4 linked regions of the Macaca mulatta genome follow. Each later gene encodes a partner of the first gene's protein in a complex. Links are inferred from orthologs where the notes say so. Each region holds a gene or a part of one and is shown in the gene's direction. Other genes may lie near its edges. The genes, in order: CCKAR, guanine nucleotide-binding protein G(s) subunit alpha isoforms XLas, GNAI1 and CCK.

Region 1 (4,334 bases):
TCTGGCAGAGACTCAGCAAGATGTAGCATGCAGCCAGCGGAAGCACTGTCAGTACACAAGGAGCCCCACGGGTATCTAGCAAACAGACCAAGTCTCAGCACAGCCAAGCAGCACGTCAGAAACGCAGGTTCCACAGCCATTGTCGTGTGCTTTCCAAAGGGTCTGAACTGAGGAGATAATCGGTGCAATGGAGGCCGAAGGGCTTTCCAGCACCACAGAGCTTCATGGAACACCCAGACCCCTGAGTTGGTCCCCCTCTCTGATCTCATGTCCTGCTGTTTGCCCCTCACTCACTCCTGCTTCTATCTATTCATACCTCAATGGGGCCACCCTCATTCCCACCTCAGGGCCTTTGCACGTGCTGTTACCACTGCTAAAAATACTCCTCCTTTTGCCTGGGAGAAGCTGTCCCCGGATCTTCACAAGACTTTGTCCTCCTTGTGGTTCAGGTCTCAGATCACAGTCCCCTCCTTGAGACACCTCTCCTGACTACCCCTTCTAAATTAGCAGCCCCAGGCCAGGTGCAGTGGCTCACAACTGTAATCCCAACACTTGGAGGCCAAGGCAGGAGGATTGCTTGAGCTCAGGAGCTTGAGACCAGCCTGGGCAACATAGCGAGACCGCCTCTATTCTAAAACTAAAAAAATCAGCTGGGCTTAGTGGTGTGTACCCGTAGTCCCAGCTACTCAGGAGGCTAAGGTAGGAGGATTGCTTGAGCCAGGGAGATGAAGGCTGCAGTGAGCCATGATCGCACCACTCCACTGCAGCCTGGGGGACAGAGTAAGACCCTGTCCCCGCCCCCCAAAAAATCAGTCCCTAATCTGTTTGTATACATCACGTCTCCCTGCTTTACTTCCTTCATAGTACTTACTACCTGAAATAATTCTGTTCATTATTTGCTGACATGATAGAAAAGTGCCTGGCAAATGATTGACTCTCAATGAAGATGTGCTGAATGCAAGACTTCATGAATGACGAGGAAATCTTACTAACATCTTTTGTAATAAGGACCCAGGTACCTATGTTCAAAAGTACCTCAATCCTTCTAGTTAACAAGGGCAGAGACCACGAGAAATAACACTGTGTTTAGTAGCAACTTAACAACCAGCCAGCAGTTCTATCCACAGACACACACCACCGGGCATGGTTCCAGAACTAAAAAGGCACTAATTGCTTTTCTATAAGGAGGTAGAACACAGTCCCTCCGTGTTCTTTAGGCCTGATGGTCTGCATTATCGGATCTGTTACCGTGTTAATTGTTCCTGTCTCATACAGCCAGTTTGGGCTTTCTTCTGCACATGTCTTGGATGGTGACAGGTTCCTATATAGAGGAGTACTGGGGAAGCCTGTGTGTGTGTGTATGTGTCCGTGCGTGTGTACACATGTGTGTATAAAAGCAGCCACACTCTGAGAATGGTTAACAGGCAACCAGGCTGTCTGTGCTCAGGGCCCTAAGACTGGCCCAGGAAAGGGCCGGGGGGGTGGGGGGTGAAGGTGGAGCGGGCTTCGCTTGCGCTCACTGCCTTTTCCACAACAGGAGTGCAAATGCTTGCCCAGCTGGAGTGAGTGTGGTGAACTCAAGTCGCCTTTAGGAATGGCTGAAAAAGCCCACACCTGGAAATCACTCCCTCCCTGCTCCTCCACGGCAGGTTGCATTTGGGAGACGCTTCAGTCATTAGAGAAATGAGCAGGGAGTGAGCAATTCACCAGCTCTCCAGCACTTGGTGGAAAGCAGCAGGCAAGGATGGATGTGGTTGACAGCCTTCTTGTGAATGGAAGCAACATCACTCCTCCCTGCGAACTCGGGCTCGAAAATGAGACGCTTTTCTGCTTGGATCAGCCTCGTCCCTCCAAAGGTAAGTGTCGGAAGCTGTTATTTTAATCCAGGAAACTACTGAGTTGCGGGAGAAATCAGCAAAGGCAAGGCTGATAAAAAAATATACATAACCAAGTCATTGTGAGACAAGGCTGGATAAAGTCATATGTTCAGAAGTTTGCAGAAGAGATTAACAAGCAGAATAGAGTCAAATATTCTTATTGTCCCCCATGGGAGAGTTGGGCATTCATGAATAGGACTTGAGGGAACAAAAGCAGGGGAGGAAAAGCTGAGTGAAGCAAGAGGGAGTACAAGTGTCAAAGCCTGAACTTACAAGCACAGCAGAAAAGGTGTTGTCACCATGCAGCCGTTTTCTTTTCTTGGGGGGAAACCAGCGTGAAGTGGTTACAGTGAAATCATGCTTAGCAGCCAGGAAAGAAAGTGATCACTGTTCACTTGAGGAGCTTTGTTCTTAAGAAAAAGTGGTTCCCTGAGTGATCCTTTAACAAACCAACCTTCTACAAACAAAATAATTCAGTCTCTGCTTTCCTCAGTTTGTTTCTGCAAAATGTTGTCAGGACAGGAATGGTGGGTCCAGTGATGTACACCCCGGTGAGGGGGGAAATCGGCAGGAAATCACCCTTGGCTTCGGTTTTAGCATTCTGCTCTCATCACCTCCATCCCTCCGTCTTGCTCCTGTTAATGTCTGCAGAGTGGCAGCCAGCGGTGCAGATTCTCTTGTACTCCTTGATATTCCTGCTCAGCGTGCTGGGAAACACGCTGGTCATCACCGTGCTGATTCGGAACAAGCGGATGCGGACAGTCACCAACATCTTCCTCCTCTCCCTGGCTGTCAGCGATCTCATGCTCTGCCTCTTCTGCATGCCGTTCAACCTCATCCCCAGTCTGCTCAAGGATTTCATCTTCGGGAGCGCCGTCTGCAAGACCACCACCTACTTCATGGGTAAGTTGCTGCTGGTGACTCTTTCTGGAGCTTGCCCCAGACCCCACTCAGCCCCAGACCTTCCCAAACCTCTGACAATCACAGCAGAAGACCTCTGCTGAGGGCTGAATCACAGAACATTAGGCTGTGCACGGCTGTGTGCAAGGACATAGCTGCTGACTTGACGGTCATCCTTATACGTTCCCCGTAAGTCGGTCCCCATCATCCACGTTGGAGGTCAGTTTCTAAGAGTGAAATACATTGATAGGAAAACACAGGGGCAGTTAATTTTGCCTGATTCTATTTGAAGGAAAGAGGGACTTGCTTCCTTCTGTTTGAAGTCAAAAGTGACTTTAAGCTGCTCTATCCCTTTCTGGAAGCTGTTGACTGTGTCCTGAGCTATACCCAACTTGAGTCCCGGCTTCTAGGGAGGGTAAGGATTATGGAGGAGGGTTCTTTGTCATTGTTCCTCTTGTTTTCTTAGGGAACAGGGGCTATTTGAAAACCAGTTCTATCACAGTTCCAGATTCTCTTGCCAGGATTCACTTCTCAGCCTGTTCTCCCCAAAGCTGGGACCATCTCTGGCAGAGGGAGAGAGGTCTCTGCCCCTAGATGAGGAGTTGAATTTGCTCCTGGGGGCTGTGGGGTCGCTAAGCTGACCCTGATTGGCTGAGATATGTAGCTGTTTGCCTATGCCAAACAAAAATGATGATAATGAAAATCACAAGAGCTAAATTTTTTGTGCTTTTATGCACCCCATGTGGTACTAAGTGCTTTGACTTTCATGATCTTACCTTACCTCCCAACCACTCTATGAAGTAAATGCAATGATTCTTCCTTGTCTCATTAAGGAGGAAACAGAGGCACAGAGAGGTTCATAATGTGCCTAAAGCCACACAGATGGTAAGCAACAGAGCTGAGATTTGAGTCCAGATTAGTAGCCACACAGTGGTGAGCATGCTACCTCAGTTTGCCAACTGCTGTGGTTCTCCTGGAGTTGAACAAAGACACATTTCTTGGTCCCCTCTGGGTGCCAGATTGCCTAGTCCCTTGCCCTTTCTGAGAATTAGTTGGGAGAGGGGCAGAGGTGGGAAATAAGCAGGGAGTTATTTTTGTTCTGACCCAAGCCTTGAAGAATATGCAGCAGTGAGCTGGGCTAGGGTAGTCTTCAATGACCGGAAGGCTTTAAAAGTCTTTGTTTTTCCCAGTTGGGGAAGTGGGATTCCGCACTGACAAAATGATGATGAATTTCTGACCCTCGTGCCACCAAAAACCAAGAATGTGTCAATCCGTGTCCAAGTCCTCTGAAAAAAAAAAAAAGGACGAAACTTACAAAGGACAAAGATCATTGTTAAATAATGAAGCAATAATAATAACTAGTGCTGTAGACATCCAAGGCCCATCCATATATATCTTATGGTAATACTATTTGGGAACCTTAACCGGAAAATGTGAACCGAGGTTTAAAACGAGTGTTTTCATGGTGGCAAAACATTCTGAGTGCCACAAAGTTGTTCAGTTTGAAATGTTTAATTTTATGTTATGCAAATTTCAACAGCATAAAAACAATTTTAT
Region 2 (4,002 bases), on another chromosome or scaffold:
CCGCTTTGTGGGGTCCCCCTCTGCGCAGCACACCCCCCACCCCTCCATCGGTGCCACCGCAGCTACTGCCTAGGGGGCTTTGCTCTTGGTGGTACGCACCCGAGACCTTCTTATTCCCCTGCGTCACCATCCACATAAACAAGGGAGCACCCTGCTTGCGCTGCGTGGGCCACTGCGGAGACCCCTAGAGTGTGATGAGGGTGGGGGCTGTTAAAGTGCTTTACCGGAGCCAACCTCAGCAAGCAACAAACAAAAGCAGTAAAAAGTACACCCAAGGCATTTAAAAAACAAATTGTGTGCTCGCATACTCGGCATCCCCTCTCCCTCGTCTCTCTCTGCTTCTCTGGTGGGCTCACGACCACCTGTCGCATCCCCACGCATGCCTGTGCCCCTTCTCAGGCACCAAAAGCCTTGCGCTCTGGACTAGGGGCTTGAGATCCGGAGCTGCCTGGAGGCTGGGGGCTATGACTCAGTGTTTCAGGGGTATCCTGGGGTGATGAAACCCTTCTTCAGTCCCCCCTCCCCCGAGGAGTCGGTTGGGTTGGGGAGGGAGGGTTTCAGCTCCTGTACTCCAGCGTCCCGAGGCCCACGTCTTGCGTCACGTGTCCCGCAACGCAGGAGAGCTTTCTCTGGCCAGGGGAGAAGCGAGGAGAAAGATTCCAAATCAGTCAGGGAGAGGAGTGGAAGGAGCCAAAACGTCCCTGCGAGGCCTGCGCTCGTCAGCCCCCTTACCCAAAGTCCCGGGCCGCGGCGCGAGGAGCAGGATTCTGGAGCTGGAGCCAGCTCGGCACTGGAACCGGCGTCCTCTGGTGGCAGCGAGAGAGCGCTACTGGCGATTTTCGGACCGAATCGGCACGCTCGTCAGATCCAAGCAGGCGGGACTGGCCTGGAGGAGAAAGAAAGAGAGAGGAGGGCATAAGGACAGACCAAGGAAGAGGGGCTGGGGGGCATACTGAGGGGATAAAAAGTGGCCAGAAAGGAGCCAAGACTCCACCAGCAACAATTGAGTTGCTTCAGCCTCAGTCTAGGGTTCCAGGCCTTGAAGCCCCCCAACCTCACAAGGGTTGGAAAGTGAGGCTGGTGAACTTTCCAGCTGGTACTTTGATTTAAAAATAATAATAATAATTTTTTCACCCTAGTTCGGTTGGGTGCTCCGTCTTACGGAGCCCCAAACTTATTTTGAGAGGCCGCCACCCTGTTATGGGCGTGCGCAACTGCCTCGACGGCAATAATATGTCAGGACAACGCGATATCCCCCCTGAAATCGGGGAACAGCCCGATCAACCATCTTTGGAGGCCCCAGGGGCAGCTGCCCCCGGTGCTGGGCCTAGCCCAGCCGAAGAGATGGAGACCGAACCGCCTCACAACGAGCCCATCCCCATCAAGAATGACAGCGAGGCCTGTGGACCCCCAGAGGTCTCCAGGCCCAACTTTCAGGTCCTCAACCAGGCATTCAGGGAAGCTGGAGCCCATGGAAGCTACAGCCCACCTCCTGAGGAAGCAATGCCCTTCGAGGTCGAACAGCCCAGCTTGGGAGGCTTCTGGCCTACACTGGAGCAGCCTGGATCCCCCAGTGGGGCCCATGCAGGCCTTGAGGCCTTCGGCCCAGCATTCATGGAACCTGGAGCCTTCAGTGGTGCCAGACCAGGCCTGGGAGGATACAGCCCTCCACCAGAAGAAGCTATGCCCTTTGAGTTTGACCAGCCTGCCAAGACAGGCTGCAGTCAACCTCTCTTACAGGTCCCAGACCTTGCTCCAGGAGGCCCAGGTGCTGCAGGGGTCCCCGGAGCTCCTCCCGAGGAGCCCCAAGCCCTCAGGCCTCCAAAGACTGGCTCCAGAGGAGGCTACAGCCCTCCCCCTGAGGAGACTATGCCATTTGAGCTTGATGGAGAAGGATCTGGGGACGACAGCCCACCCCCGGGGCTTTCCCGAGTTATCGCACAAGTTGACCGCGGTGGCCAGTTCGCGGCAGTCGCGGCCTCGAGTGCGGTCCGCCTCACTCCCGCCGCGAACGCGCCTCCCCTCTGGGTCCCAGGCGCCATCGGCAGCCCATCCCGAGAGGCTGTCAGACCTCCTCCTAACTTCACGGGCAGCGGCCCCCCGATGGAGATCTCCGGACCCCCGCTCGAGATTGGCAGCGCCCCCGCTGGGGTCGACGACGCTCCCGTCAACATGGACAGCCCCCCAATCGCGCTTGACGGCCCGCCCATCGAGGTCTCCGGAGCCCCAGATAAGAGAGAGCGAGCAGAGAGACCCCCAGTTGAGGAGGAAGCAGCAGAGATGGAAGGAAGCACAGCCGCTGATGCCGCGGAGGGAGGAAAAGTCCCCTCTCCGGGGTACGGATCCCCTGCCGCCGGGGCAGCTTCAACGGATACCGCCACCGGGGCAGCCCGTGCAGCCCCAGCGGATCCCGACTCCGGGGCAGCCCCAGAAGATCCCGACTCCGGGGCAGCCCCTGCCGCCCCGGCCGATCCCGACTCCGGGGCGGCCCCTGACGCCCCGGCCGATCCCGACTCCGGGGCGGCCCCTGACGCCCCGGCCGATCCCGACTCCGGGGCGGCCCCTGACGCCCCGGCCGATCCCGACTCCGGGGCGGCCCCTGACGCCCCAGCGGTTCCAGATGCCGGGGCAGCCCCTGACGCCCCAGCCGATCCAGATGCCGGGGCAGCCCCTGAGGTTCCCGCGGCCCCTGCGGCTGCTGAGACCCGGGCAGCCCATGTCGCCCCAGCTGCGCCTGACGCCGGGGCTCCCACTGCCCCAGCCGCTTCTGCCACCCGGGCAGCCCAAGCCGCCCGGGCGGCCTCGGCAGCCCCTGCCTCCGGGGCCAGACGCAAGCTCCATCACCTTAGACCCCCCAGCCCCGAGATCCAGGCTGCCGATCCGCCTACTCCGCGGCCTGCTCGCGCGTCTGCCTGGCGGGGCAAGTCCGAGCGCAGCTGCGGCCGCCGCGTGTACTACGATGAAGGGGCGGCCAGCAGCGACGATGACTCCAGCGGAGACGAGTCCGACGATGGGACCTTCGGATGCATCCGCTGGTTTCAGCATCGGCGAAATCGCCGCCGCCGAAAGCCCCAGCGCAACTTACTCCGCAACTTCCTCATGCAAGCCTTCGGGGGCTGCTTCGGTCGATCTGAGAGTCCCCAGCCCAAAGCCTCGCACTCCTCCAAGGTCAAGAAGGTACCCCTGGTGGAGAAGCGCAGACAGATGCGCAAAGAAGCCCTGGAGAAGCGGGCCCAGAAGCGCGCAGAGAAGAAACGCAGCAAGCTCATCGACAAACAACTCCAGGACGAAAAGATGGGCTACATGTGTACGCACCGCCTGCTGCTTCTAGGTAATGCGGCGGACTCTGCCTGCGGGCAGCAGGGCCGCCGGGGAACTGGGTAGGGGGTGGCAGGGCTGCCTGCTGGGGCTCGGGGCTCGACAGTGGGAGGAGGGGATCCAGCCAAAGGCGGGAAGAGCTTGCTAGAAAGTTCCAGGGAGGGACCCTAACTATGCCCTGGGAGCGGGAGGGGATCTTGGGTGGATTCGGGTGGCCGAAGTATATGCCCTCCAGGGAGAAAAGTGATGCCGAGCGACACTGAGGGTCGTTTCCGGCTGGACAGGCCAGCGCCAGCAACCGTAAGCTGGACAGGCAGGGGCTTTCAGGTGAGCCAGGAACTGCCGGGGAGGGCCCCGGGGCTCCCCTGGCTAGGCTGGTGGGGTCCATGGTGGGCTAGGGTCTTTGGGAAAGGCGCGCCCCCGCCTCGCCTGGCACGGCTGCTTGGACTCAGACAGCTTGTCGTTGGTGTGTGTTGGTGTCCATATTCTGTGTTCGCCTGTGCATGATACGCTAAAGTGTCTCCCGTTCCTATCCCGGCACCCCCAAATTACCCGGCGACTGTGTACTTGTACTTGGGAACGGGCTGTCTTGTGGTTTGCGTCATGGCGCGGGCAAAAAACTTTCAGTGTTCGCACACTCTGGTGGTACCTGCGCCCGGGCGCTCTGCGGTGAGCCGTGCGGAG
Region 3 (3,557 bases), on another chromosome or scaffold:
GTGACTTCTCAGTGTTTACACACAGTGCAGTCCATTCATTTGTTTGCTTTAATGTTCTAAGTGTTCTTCCATGTGTTAACGTCTTGTCTTTTGAGGGTACTTTTGTTTTTGCTTTTGTTTTAGAGATACCCTCCCTTCAATCAAAACTTTTAAAAACTAGCAGATTTTTTCCCCTTTTGAGAAGTCCAGTTTGTGACATTGTTTTCCTCCCATAAAGTCCTTCTCTCCTTCCTTTTCATCACACATTTCCACAACTATTCAGAGCTTTTTTTGTTAAAGAACTTCTCAGAACTTCTTGAACGTTTAATATGATGTTAACTCATTTCTCCTCTTAACAGAATGTTTGATGTGGGAGGTCAGAGATCTGAGCGGAAGAAGTGGATTCATTGCTTCGAAGGAGTGACGGCGATCATCTTCTGTGTAGCACTGAGTGACTACGATCTGGTTCTAGCTGAAGATGAAGAAATGGCAAGTAGAACTACTTTAAGAGTTGAGCTTGAAACATGAAGAGCTGAAGGTGTTGCCAAGAATTTTTCTGAGAAAAATTCTTAAATTCTTTCTAATGTCTATAACAATTTGAAAGTACAGGGTCTTTCCTCTAACTTTTCTATTTGCCTAATACAAGAGAAATATACTAGAGAAGCACAGGTGGATCTTGAGGAAAAGGAAAGTATGGAGAGTCAATCTCACCTCAAGCCTGTAAGCTTAACTATGCATTTCTGTATCTGATATCAACATAGCACATGGAAATATATTTACATAGTAGTTCAAGATCCCTTTTCTTAATTTGTTACTTCTATTAGTTTAGTAAATCCTTTTTTTTTTTTTTTTTTTTTTTTTTTTTTGAGATGGAGTCTTGCTGTGTTGCCAGGATGGAGTGCAGTGGCACGATCTTGGCTCACTGCAACCTCCACCTCCCGGTTTGAAGCCAGTTCTCCTGCCCCAGCCTCCTAAGTAGTTGGAATTACCGGCACGTGCCACCACACCCAGCTGGTTTTTGTATTTTTAGTAGAGATGGGGTTTCGCCACATTGGCCAGGCTGGTCGCAAACTCCTGACCTCTGGTGATCCACCCACCTCAGCCTCCCAAAGTGCTGGGATTACAGGCCTGAGCCACCACACCCAGCCAGTAAATCTTTAATATATGTTATACTTTGTTGCTGCCCTGTAATTTTCAGATAGGTTTCAATGTACCATTAATATGGGGGAAGTATTTTTAAATAGAAATGTAAAACTTTAAGTTAACTTTATTACGAAGTGGGGAAAAAGGAGTAGAAATGTCTTTTGTACAGTTGACCCTTGAACAACAGGGGTTTAAGCTGCATGGGTCCACATATATGAGAATTTTTTTCAACCAAGCACATTCATGGGATGCAAAACCTGAGTATGCAGAAAGTCAACTTTTCCTGTACGTGGGTTCCACAGAACCGCCTGCTGGACTTGAGTATATGCAGATTTTGGTACCTTTGGGGGTCTTTGTACTAATCCCTCTGAATATACCGAGAGACGATTATATCTTTAAAATCAAGTCTATGAAATTATAGTGCAATGCAACACCACATGTTCATTTCTCTTATTTCAGCACTACAAAATGTATCAGTGCCCTCTTTGATGAGCACAGATCCTAGAAGTTCCAGAAACAGGAATTGGAAGTGTTCTTCCAGTATTTATATTTATTGTAATATTTAGAGTAATGGGCTAATTGGGTCTTAGCTTGTTCAATTCAATTTTATTAATCTTTAAAAACCTCTGTTTATCTTTTAATGGAAACTTAGATGAAATAAGCTCTATGACGATGTCATTTCTTTTCACAAGTTCACATTTCACATCCTAGATTATACTGTCCTGTAGCAGGATGTTCTCTGGCATAGAGCATGACATATAGTGGGCACTTAGCAAGTAAAAGTTGGATGCAGAAAGTGATGAAAGATGGTTAGACACTTCTCTCACCTAAAGTGAAAGTGTGTTCTGAAATGACAGAAATGTATTTTTGTGATATGTTATGTATTTTTCAATGACTAAACTCTGTTTTATTACAACACCTATTATTTTTTAAAATACTCCTTAAAAGTCCTTGCTGTTAGTGACCATTGGTTTTCTTTTTTTCTGTTATAGAATCGAATGCATGAAAGCATGAAGTTGTTTGACAGCATATGTAACAACAAGTGGTTTACAGATACATCCATTATACTTTTTCTCAACAAGAAGGATCTCTTTGAAGAAAAAATCAAGAAGAGCCCTCTCACTATATGCTATCCAGAATATGCAGGTATTTTACTTTTCTGGGAATCACTTGTCAAGTTACATATTTCTAATTGAAACTTTCCCTAAGGCAAGAATTCAGTTGTTAATTTAAATCTCTTGGCTTAGTGATTCTTAGACCTTTAAGGGATATTATTTATCAAACTGCAGTTGAGCACAGAAATTTCCTTAAGATGTGGAGGAAATTACTGAAAATAATGTATTCATTTTATGGAAAAGCTGTTAGATAATGTTTAGTGATGACTCCAAGTTAAAATACTGTTTTTAAACCAAGTTAACAGATTTCATATCAGTACTGTGTGATGTACAATAAATAAGACATGTCTCTGCCCACCATCTAATCTCAAAGACAGACATACTTAAACAACAAGCAATAGCAGTGCATCCTACTGCTAAAAAGGAACATGAACATTATTGTAAGGGGGAAAATGAAGATGGGATCATTGAAGCGGCTAACTCTTCCAGAAGGGCAGGGAAGGTTTCGCAAGAAGCCTAAGCTTTGGTAATGAGACTGTTAATAGTGCTTTAATTTTACTACAGTGGAAAATTCCATGGAGTGAGAAAAGTAGACCTGAAGTACAGTCCTGACTTTTCCATAATTAGCTCTTTGATCTTGAGCAAGGCAGTTAGTTCACCTAGGTCTCAGTATTCCATCTGTGAAGTCAGGAGTTGGGCTAAAACATTAGTTTTGGTTTAGTTTAGTTCCTTGGAGCACCTCCTGGGTTGCTGTTGAAGGTGGAGATGGGAGAGGGAACAGAACTAATTACTGCCCCCCGCACCCGCCACCTTATAACTTTTTCATTAAAGCAGAGGAACTCAGCTTTCATCTGGTTTCCATATCAAGTAAGGTTTTATTTTAGTGAAGAGCATTCAATATGCCTTAAAAAACAGGAGTTTGACTACCACTGGTGTATGTAATCTCCAAATCTACTTTGAAGAGTTTAGTTATTTACCGTCACTCCACTCTTCCTGTTTTTTTTAAAAAAGTCTCAAGGATTTGTTTTTTTATAAACAACGTTTTCCTGAGTCTTGTATTGAGTCAATTGTACGATGAGTATTCACTGCCATTTTACAGGAAATGTTAAGACAACCCTGTGATGTCAGTGCTCGGGTATCCCTACCCATACAAATGAGAATAGCGAGGCTTAGTGAAGCCAGAGTGCAGTTCCAGACCCAAATCCATTGTCCTCCTGCTCCTCGACCATTCATGGCTAGGCTACATTTAATTAAACATTCACTGAAACCAAAAGGGGAGGGTTCTTTGGTAAATATAATCATGTTAATTGTTATAGCTCT
Region 4 (4,333 bases), on another chromosome or scaffold:
GCCCCACCTTCCCTACCCCCGCCTCACCCACTCGACCCCCACACTGTCATCGCCACAGTCCCTCCATTCCAGAGGGAATTCCAGAGCGGAATACGGATTCCGATTTTAAAATAAGCGCTTCTAAATCTTTCTCCTTCCCTCTAAGACGAATGAGGGAAAGAAAGGGAGAGGAGTTGAGGTCCCAAGGTTCAGGGATGCCTGGTGATCTCCAGGTCCCAGGCTGGGCTGCCTGGGTGCACGGAGAGGGCGAGGGGCGCATTGTGGAGCCTTGGCAAGCGCTGCTCTTCCTCGATCCTCGGTTTGCGGTCTGTGAAATGGGGTTCGCAGTGCCTTTGCGGGGACGTCGCGAACTCAAGCACCAGCAAGCCGATTCGAACTCAAAGGGCTTCAGGGTGTAGACGACCACCGCGCACTGAGGGACTACGGGTCGGCCCGCTCCGGAGCCAGGAGAGTAACCGCGCGCAGGGAAAGGCGCACTGCAGCCTTGGTGCCTCCCTTCCCTCCACCGGACGGGTGAGTGACGACGGGCGAGGTCCTCATCTCCAGGCTGCGCAGCTGAGTTCTGGCAGGTACGGTCCTAGGGGTGTGAGTGTGTGGGCCCTCCGGAAAGGTGGGAGGGGCGAATGCCGTGGTCTACCCAAGCTTGCAGGGGTGCGGTGTGCAAGTTCCCCAGGACCCTCGCTGGCGCCGCTTGTCGGCAGCTGGGAACAGTGAGCGCAGCGGGTGGCTGTAAGTTGGCCAGGGAAGGAAACACATCGCTTTCCCAAGCCGGATTCCTCTGAGCAAAGCCAGATGGTGTCATCCCCATTTTACAGCTGCGTAAAGAAAGGCCCAGAACACCAACAGCCAGCTGTGGCCGGAGCCCTTTCACTGACCCGGAACACTAGCTCTCAGAAACCTGGAGAACTGCGAGGGCTTTTAATGCGGCTGAGAAGAAAGTAAAGACCCCGACTCCTCTCTCCTTCGAAAGAGCCCACACAAGTATGAAGACCAGCGCCTCGGACGCTCCGGGGTAGGGGGGCCCACGCCCCATCCCTCTCAGAATCGCGCCTTACTGACGCTCAGTCCCGCCCAGTGTCCACCCCCAACCCCCGCCCCAGTTTCCTTTCTGGACCCTCCGGTCCCCAAAGCGAACTAAGCTAGCGGCAGCTTTTCCATCCCAGGGAAGACTCCAAACTCCTAGGTTTCCCACCTTGGAGAGCACTGCTCTGGAATGCTCAGGGGAGCGGCAGCTGGAAAGGGTTGGAAGGAAGCTTCTCGGACCCAGAGGGGGGCAGACACCGGGCCCAGCCAGGGAGGGGTTAAATCCGCCCCACTGGACCACCTCCCCCTCTCCCCCAGGAGCCACTTCAACCGGTTGTCGTCCCAGTGGCCACCCTCTGAGCACGTGTTGCTGCCAGTCTGCGTCAGCGCTGGGTAAATACATGACTGGGCGACGCCGCCGGGCGGGGCTATTTAAGAGGCAGCCGCCCTCTGGTCCTCCCTGAACTTGGCTCAGCTGCCGGGCTGCTCCGGTTGGAAACGCCAAGCCAGCTGCGTTCTAATCCAAAAGGTAGGTCCCTCGGTTCGTCAGCGGGGGATCCAAGTGTCGTGTGTCTTTGAAGAATGCTGTCGTCAGCTTTGTGCCCATTTCCATTTTGCTTTTCTATTTTCTGTGTCTTTCCTCCGAGAGCTCGAAAGACATTTCTTGAAGTCAGAAACAACGGTTCCGGGTCTAAAAGTGAGGTCTGGGTAGGTAGAGCTGCTTTAGAGGCTTTCACGCGCCGGCATACCCATTCGCTAAGATTCGCATGCAGATTGAGATTTGCTAGCTGTTACACAGCGGTGCTGGGGACGTTGCAATATTTTCTAATAAAATACCAGAGGGTTTTAAGATTCAAATTCATTTTCTAAATACTGCAGAAAATTTCGAGGCTTTACGGATAGAAATGTGAGGGTGTTTTATCCACTAGCGATCTAAAATGCACGGGGCTTTGGAAGCCTGAGTGCTGGGCACATATTTCTGATTTTAAAACCTGCCTATGTTTTGCGTAGTGGCTTATTGCCATTTCCCACCTACACTTTGAGAAAACTTTATAAATACGGCTTTATTTATTGCTCCTACATTTTAAACTGTGCTTCTCTTTTTCGTCATTTACTGTATTTCCATATTGAAAGCTTGTTAGCTATCTGGAAAGGTGCTTTCCCTAGGGTTCTCATTTCTCCCACGGAGTCTTCCCTTTAGGATATTTTTTTCACACTATTTTTAATCTCGTGGGGTTTTATTTTTCTTCTTTCAGTTAGAAGAGAGGCACTCTGCAAACACTTCCTCAAACTTTAGGGAAGCAGAAAACATTACTTCTGCTCAACACGGCAAAAAACAGGGTCTCTGTCTGCCCCTCGGCACTGGGTGTGGAGTTCCCAAAGACCAGCCGTGTGCGCCCGGGGGCGCGCGCCATGGCACTCGGCTTGAGCCCTCGTGCTTGTGGCGGCCTGGGGAGTCTGGAGCACCTGTGTTTGTCCTAAGCCGGTTTCTGGGTGCCCTGCCCGCCGCAGGAGCTCTCGGATGCCCAGCCTTTCCGTTAACGCCCCCTCCTCCTTTGCTCCCTACAGCCATGAACAGCGGCGTGCGCCTGTGCATACTGATGGCGGTACTGGCGGCTGGCGCCCTGACGCAGCCGGTGCCTCCCGCAGAGCCCGCGGGCTCCGGGCTGCAGCGGGCAGAGGAGGCGCCCCGTAGGCAGCTGAGGGCAGTGCAGAGAACGGACGGGGAGTCCCGAGCGCACCTGGGCGCGCTGCTGGCAAGATACATCCAGCAGGCCAGGAAAGGTAAGAATGCTGCCTCCCCATCCCTCACTTCTGCCCTTGTTCCCAGGCTCTGGATGCTGACCCTCTTCTCTAGCGCCGGCCTAATGAAGATGACCTCTCTCGGTAGGAAACAAGCAACATGGTTTCTGGCCGTCCTTTGTAGCAATCTGAGAAGGGGTATGGAGGACTTAATTTATAAGTAAGGGGACCCTTCTTGAAAAGCTTTCTTTGAACTAATTTTTAGCAATGTTGCTGATTAAGTTCAACACCATTTTACCAAGCCATTAAAAGATAATTATTGAACCCTAGGAAAGGGTTCCTAGATACACTAAATACCCTCTACTAAAAACGCAAAGAACCTGGGAGCCACCCAGATACCAACCCTTGGAAATCCTCTAGCAGGAAGGCGTCAATGCTGAGAATGCCTGAGATCTGGCTACAACAGTTTAAGAAAGCAGTGACAATGTGTCCATCTCCACCAAACCATGTAACAGAAGGAAAGAATCAGCAGCAGTTTTGTGTTCTCCTTGCAATGACTTACACATGATTACCCAACAAGAGAGGTATTTGTTTTTACTTTACTGTCGCAGAGATGGTCACAGTTATAGCAAGAGCTGAGCAAGTCATTTTTCTCAGCATCAAAGTCTTTCTCCAGGAATAAGGTGATTCAGCCCCTCACTAGCTGAGTGGCATGCAGGCAGTCCTGACCTGAGGCTAGCTTTCCCCTAAGCTCCTTCCAATTCTTTGTGTGATTCAGAGGGAGGCCCATTCATCTCTTGTGACCCATAGGAATCATGCTTTGGATTGCGGCAGCTTTTTTCTGCCAACTTTATCCCCAGTGGCACTAATAATGAACACTGGCTGTGGAGGAGTGTGCTGAACAGTACAAACACAGCTGGACATTAAAATAATTCAGCAGGCCAGGAGCAGTGGCTCACGCTTGTAATCCCAGCACTTTGGGAGGCCGAGGCAGGTGGATCACATGAGGTCAGGAGTTCGAGACCAGCCTGATCAACATGATGAAACCCCATCTCTACTAAAAATACAAAATTAGCTGGTTATGATGGCACATGTTTGCAATCCCAGCTACATGGGAGGCTGAGGCGGGAGAGTAGCTTGAACCTGGGAGGTGGAGGTTGCAGTGAGCCGAGATTGCACCATTGCACTCTTACCCAACAGGTGTTCCAGGGCCTGGATTTGAACCTTAACCCCTGGCTTGACCAGAAAGGGATAAGATGAAGAGCTTTGGCTCTGCAGAGTTCTCCTGTGGGCTCACATGAAGGGAAGACTGGAACTCTTTGACCCAGAGGCTTCAGAAGGAAAGAACAAATCAGTGATTTGTTGTATTTCTTCCTGTCTTTGGGAAATTGCCCCACCCACTACCTTCTGTTTTGCTTTCCTACTAATTAAATTGAAGAAGATAGAAATACTTATCACATGGAGAGAGAAAGTCTGAAAGCTTTTGAGTTCCTGCTGATTTTCTGCCTGAAAATAATTTAGTGTCTGTCCCCAGATACAGGCTGAATTTCAGCCAGACAAGTCTGAA

Evidence for each region.
Region 2: the proteins of CCKAR (region 1) and guanine nucleotide-binding protein G(s) subunit alpha isoforms XLas are in contact, whole or in part, in a cryo-EM structure (PDB 7XOV), measured with the Homo sapiens proteins. The link is inferred for Macaca mulatta from reciprocal best matches to the Homo sapiens genes CCKAR and GNAS. Residues at the interface, in NP_000721.1 of Homo sapiens: Thr76, Glu138, Arg139, Ala142, Ile143, Cys144, Pro146, Leu147, Gln148, Ser149, Arg150, Val151, Gln153, Thr154, Lys155, Glu235, Leu236, Ser301, Ala303, Asn304, Ala307, Lys308, Arg310, Val311, Met314, Phe372, Met373, Asn374, Lys375, Arg376; in NP_000507.1 of Homo sapiens: Gln31, Gln35, Arg38, Ala39, His41, Asp215, Val217, Phe219, Asp354, Gly355, Tyr358, Phe376, Cys379, Arg380, Ile383, Gln384, Arg385, His387, Leu388, Gln390, Tyr391, Glu392, Leu393, Leu394.
Region 3: the proteins of CCKAR (region 1) and GNAI1 are in contact, whole or in part, in a cryo-EM structure (PDB 7EZH), measured with the Homo sapiens proteins. The link is inferred for Macaca mulatta from reciprocal best matches to the Homo sapiens genes CCKAR and GNAI1. Residues at the interface, in NP_000721.1 of Homo sapiens: Thr74, Thr76, Arg139, Ala142, Ile143, Pro146, Leu147, Ser149, Arg150, Val151, Ser156, Ser298, Asn299, Ser300, Ser301, Asn304, Ala307, Lys308, Val311, Leu315, Met373, Asn374, Lys375, Arg376; in NP_002060.4 of Homo sapiens: Glu28, Ala31, Arg32, Glu33, Val34, Leu194, Thr219, Lys314, Glu318, Ile319, Tyr320, Phe336, Thr340, Ile343, Ile344, Asn347, Leu348, Lys349, Asp350, Cys351, Gly352, Leu353, Phe354.
Region 4: the proteins of CCKAR (region 1) and CCK are in contact, whole or in part, in a cryo-EM structure (PDB 7MBX), measured with the Homo sapiens proteins. The link is inferred for Macaca mulatta from reciprocal best matches to the Homo sapiens genes CCKAR and CCK. Residues at the interface, in NP_000721.1 of Homo sapiens: Cys94, Phe97, Asn98, Pro101, Asn102, Lys105, Asp106, Phe107, Thr118, Met121, Gly122, Val125, Tyr176, Phe185, Asn194, Met195, Cys196, Arg197, Phe198, His210, Leu213, Leu217, Ile329, Phe330, Ala332, Asn333, Arg336, Ala343, Glu344, Leu347; in NP_000720.1 of Homo sapiens: Asp96, Tyr97, Met98, Gly99, Trp100, Met101, Asp102, Phe103.

Annotation. Positions count from the first base shown.
Region 1 is NC_133410.1:25,525,792-25,530,125, reverse strand, and holds the start of CCKAR (cholecystokinin receptor type A), read left to right. Parts: upstream 1-1,518; 5' UTR 1,519-1,744; coding exon 1,745-1,856; intron 1,857-2,528; coding exon 2,529-2,780; intron 2,781-4,334. UniProt on the Homo sapiens protein: Receptor for cholecystokinin. Mediates pancreatic growth and enzyme secretion, smooth muscle contraction of the gall bladder and stomach. Has a 1000-fold higher affinity for CCK rather than for gastrin.
Region 2 is NC_133415.1:111,642,713-111,646,714, forward strand, and holds the start of guanine nucleotide-binding protein G(s) subunit alpha isoforms XLas, read left to right. Parts: upstream 1-1,185; 5' UTR 1,186-1,200; coding exon 1,201-3,331; intron 3,332-4,002. UniProt on the Homo sapiens protein: Guanine nucleotide-binding proteins (G proteins) function as transducers in numerous signaling pathways controlled by G protein-coupled receptors (GPCRs).
Region 3 is NC_133408.1:139,273,849-139,277,405, reverse strand, and holds part of GNAI1 (guanine nucleotide-binding protein G(i) subunit alpha-1), read left to right. Parts: intron 1-338; coding exon 339-468; intron 469-2,114; coding exon 2,115-2,268; intron 2,269-3,557. UniProt on the Homo sapiens protein: Guanine nucleotide-binding proteins (G proteins) function as transducers downstream of G protein-coupled receptors (GPCRs) in numerous signaling cascades.
Region 4 is NC_133407.1:105,592,201-105,596,533, reverse strand, and holds the start of CCK (cholecystokinin), read left to right. Parts: upstream 1-1,485; 5' UTR 1,486-1,552; intron 1,553-2,592; 5' UTR 2,593-2,594; coding exon 2,595-2,808; intron 2,809-4,333. UniProt on the Homo sapiens protein: This peptide hormone induces gall bladder contraction and the release of pancreatic enzymes in the gut. Its function in the brain is not clear.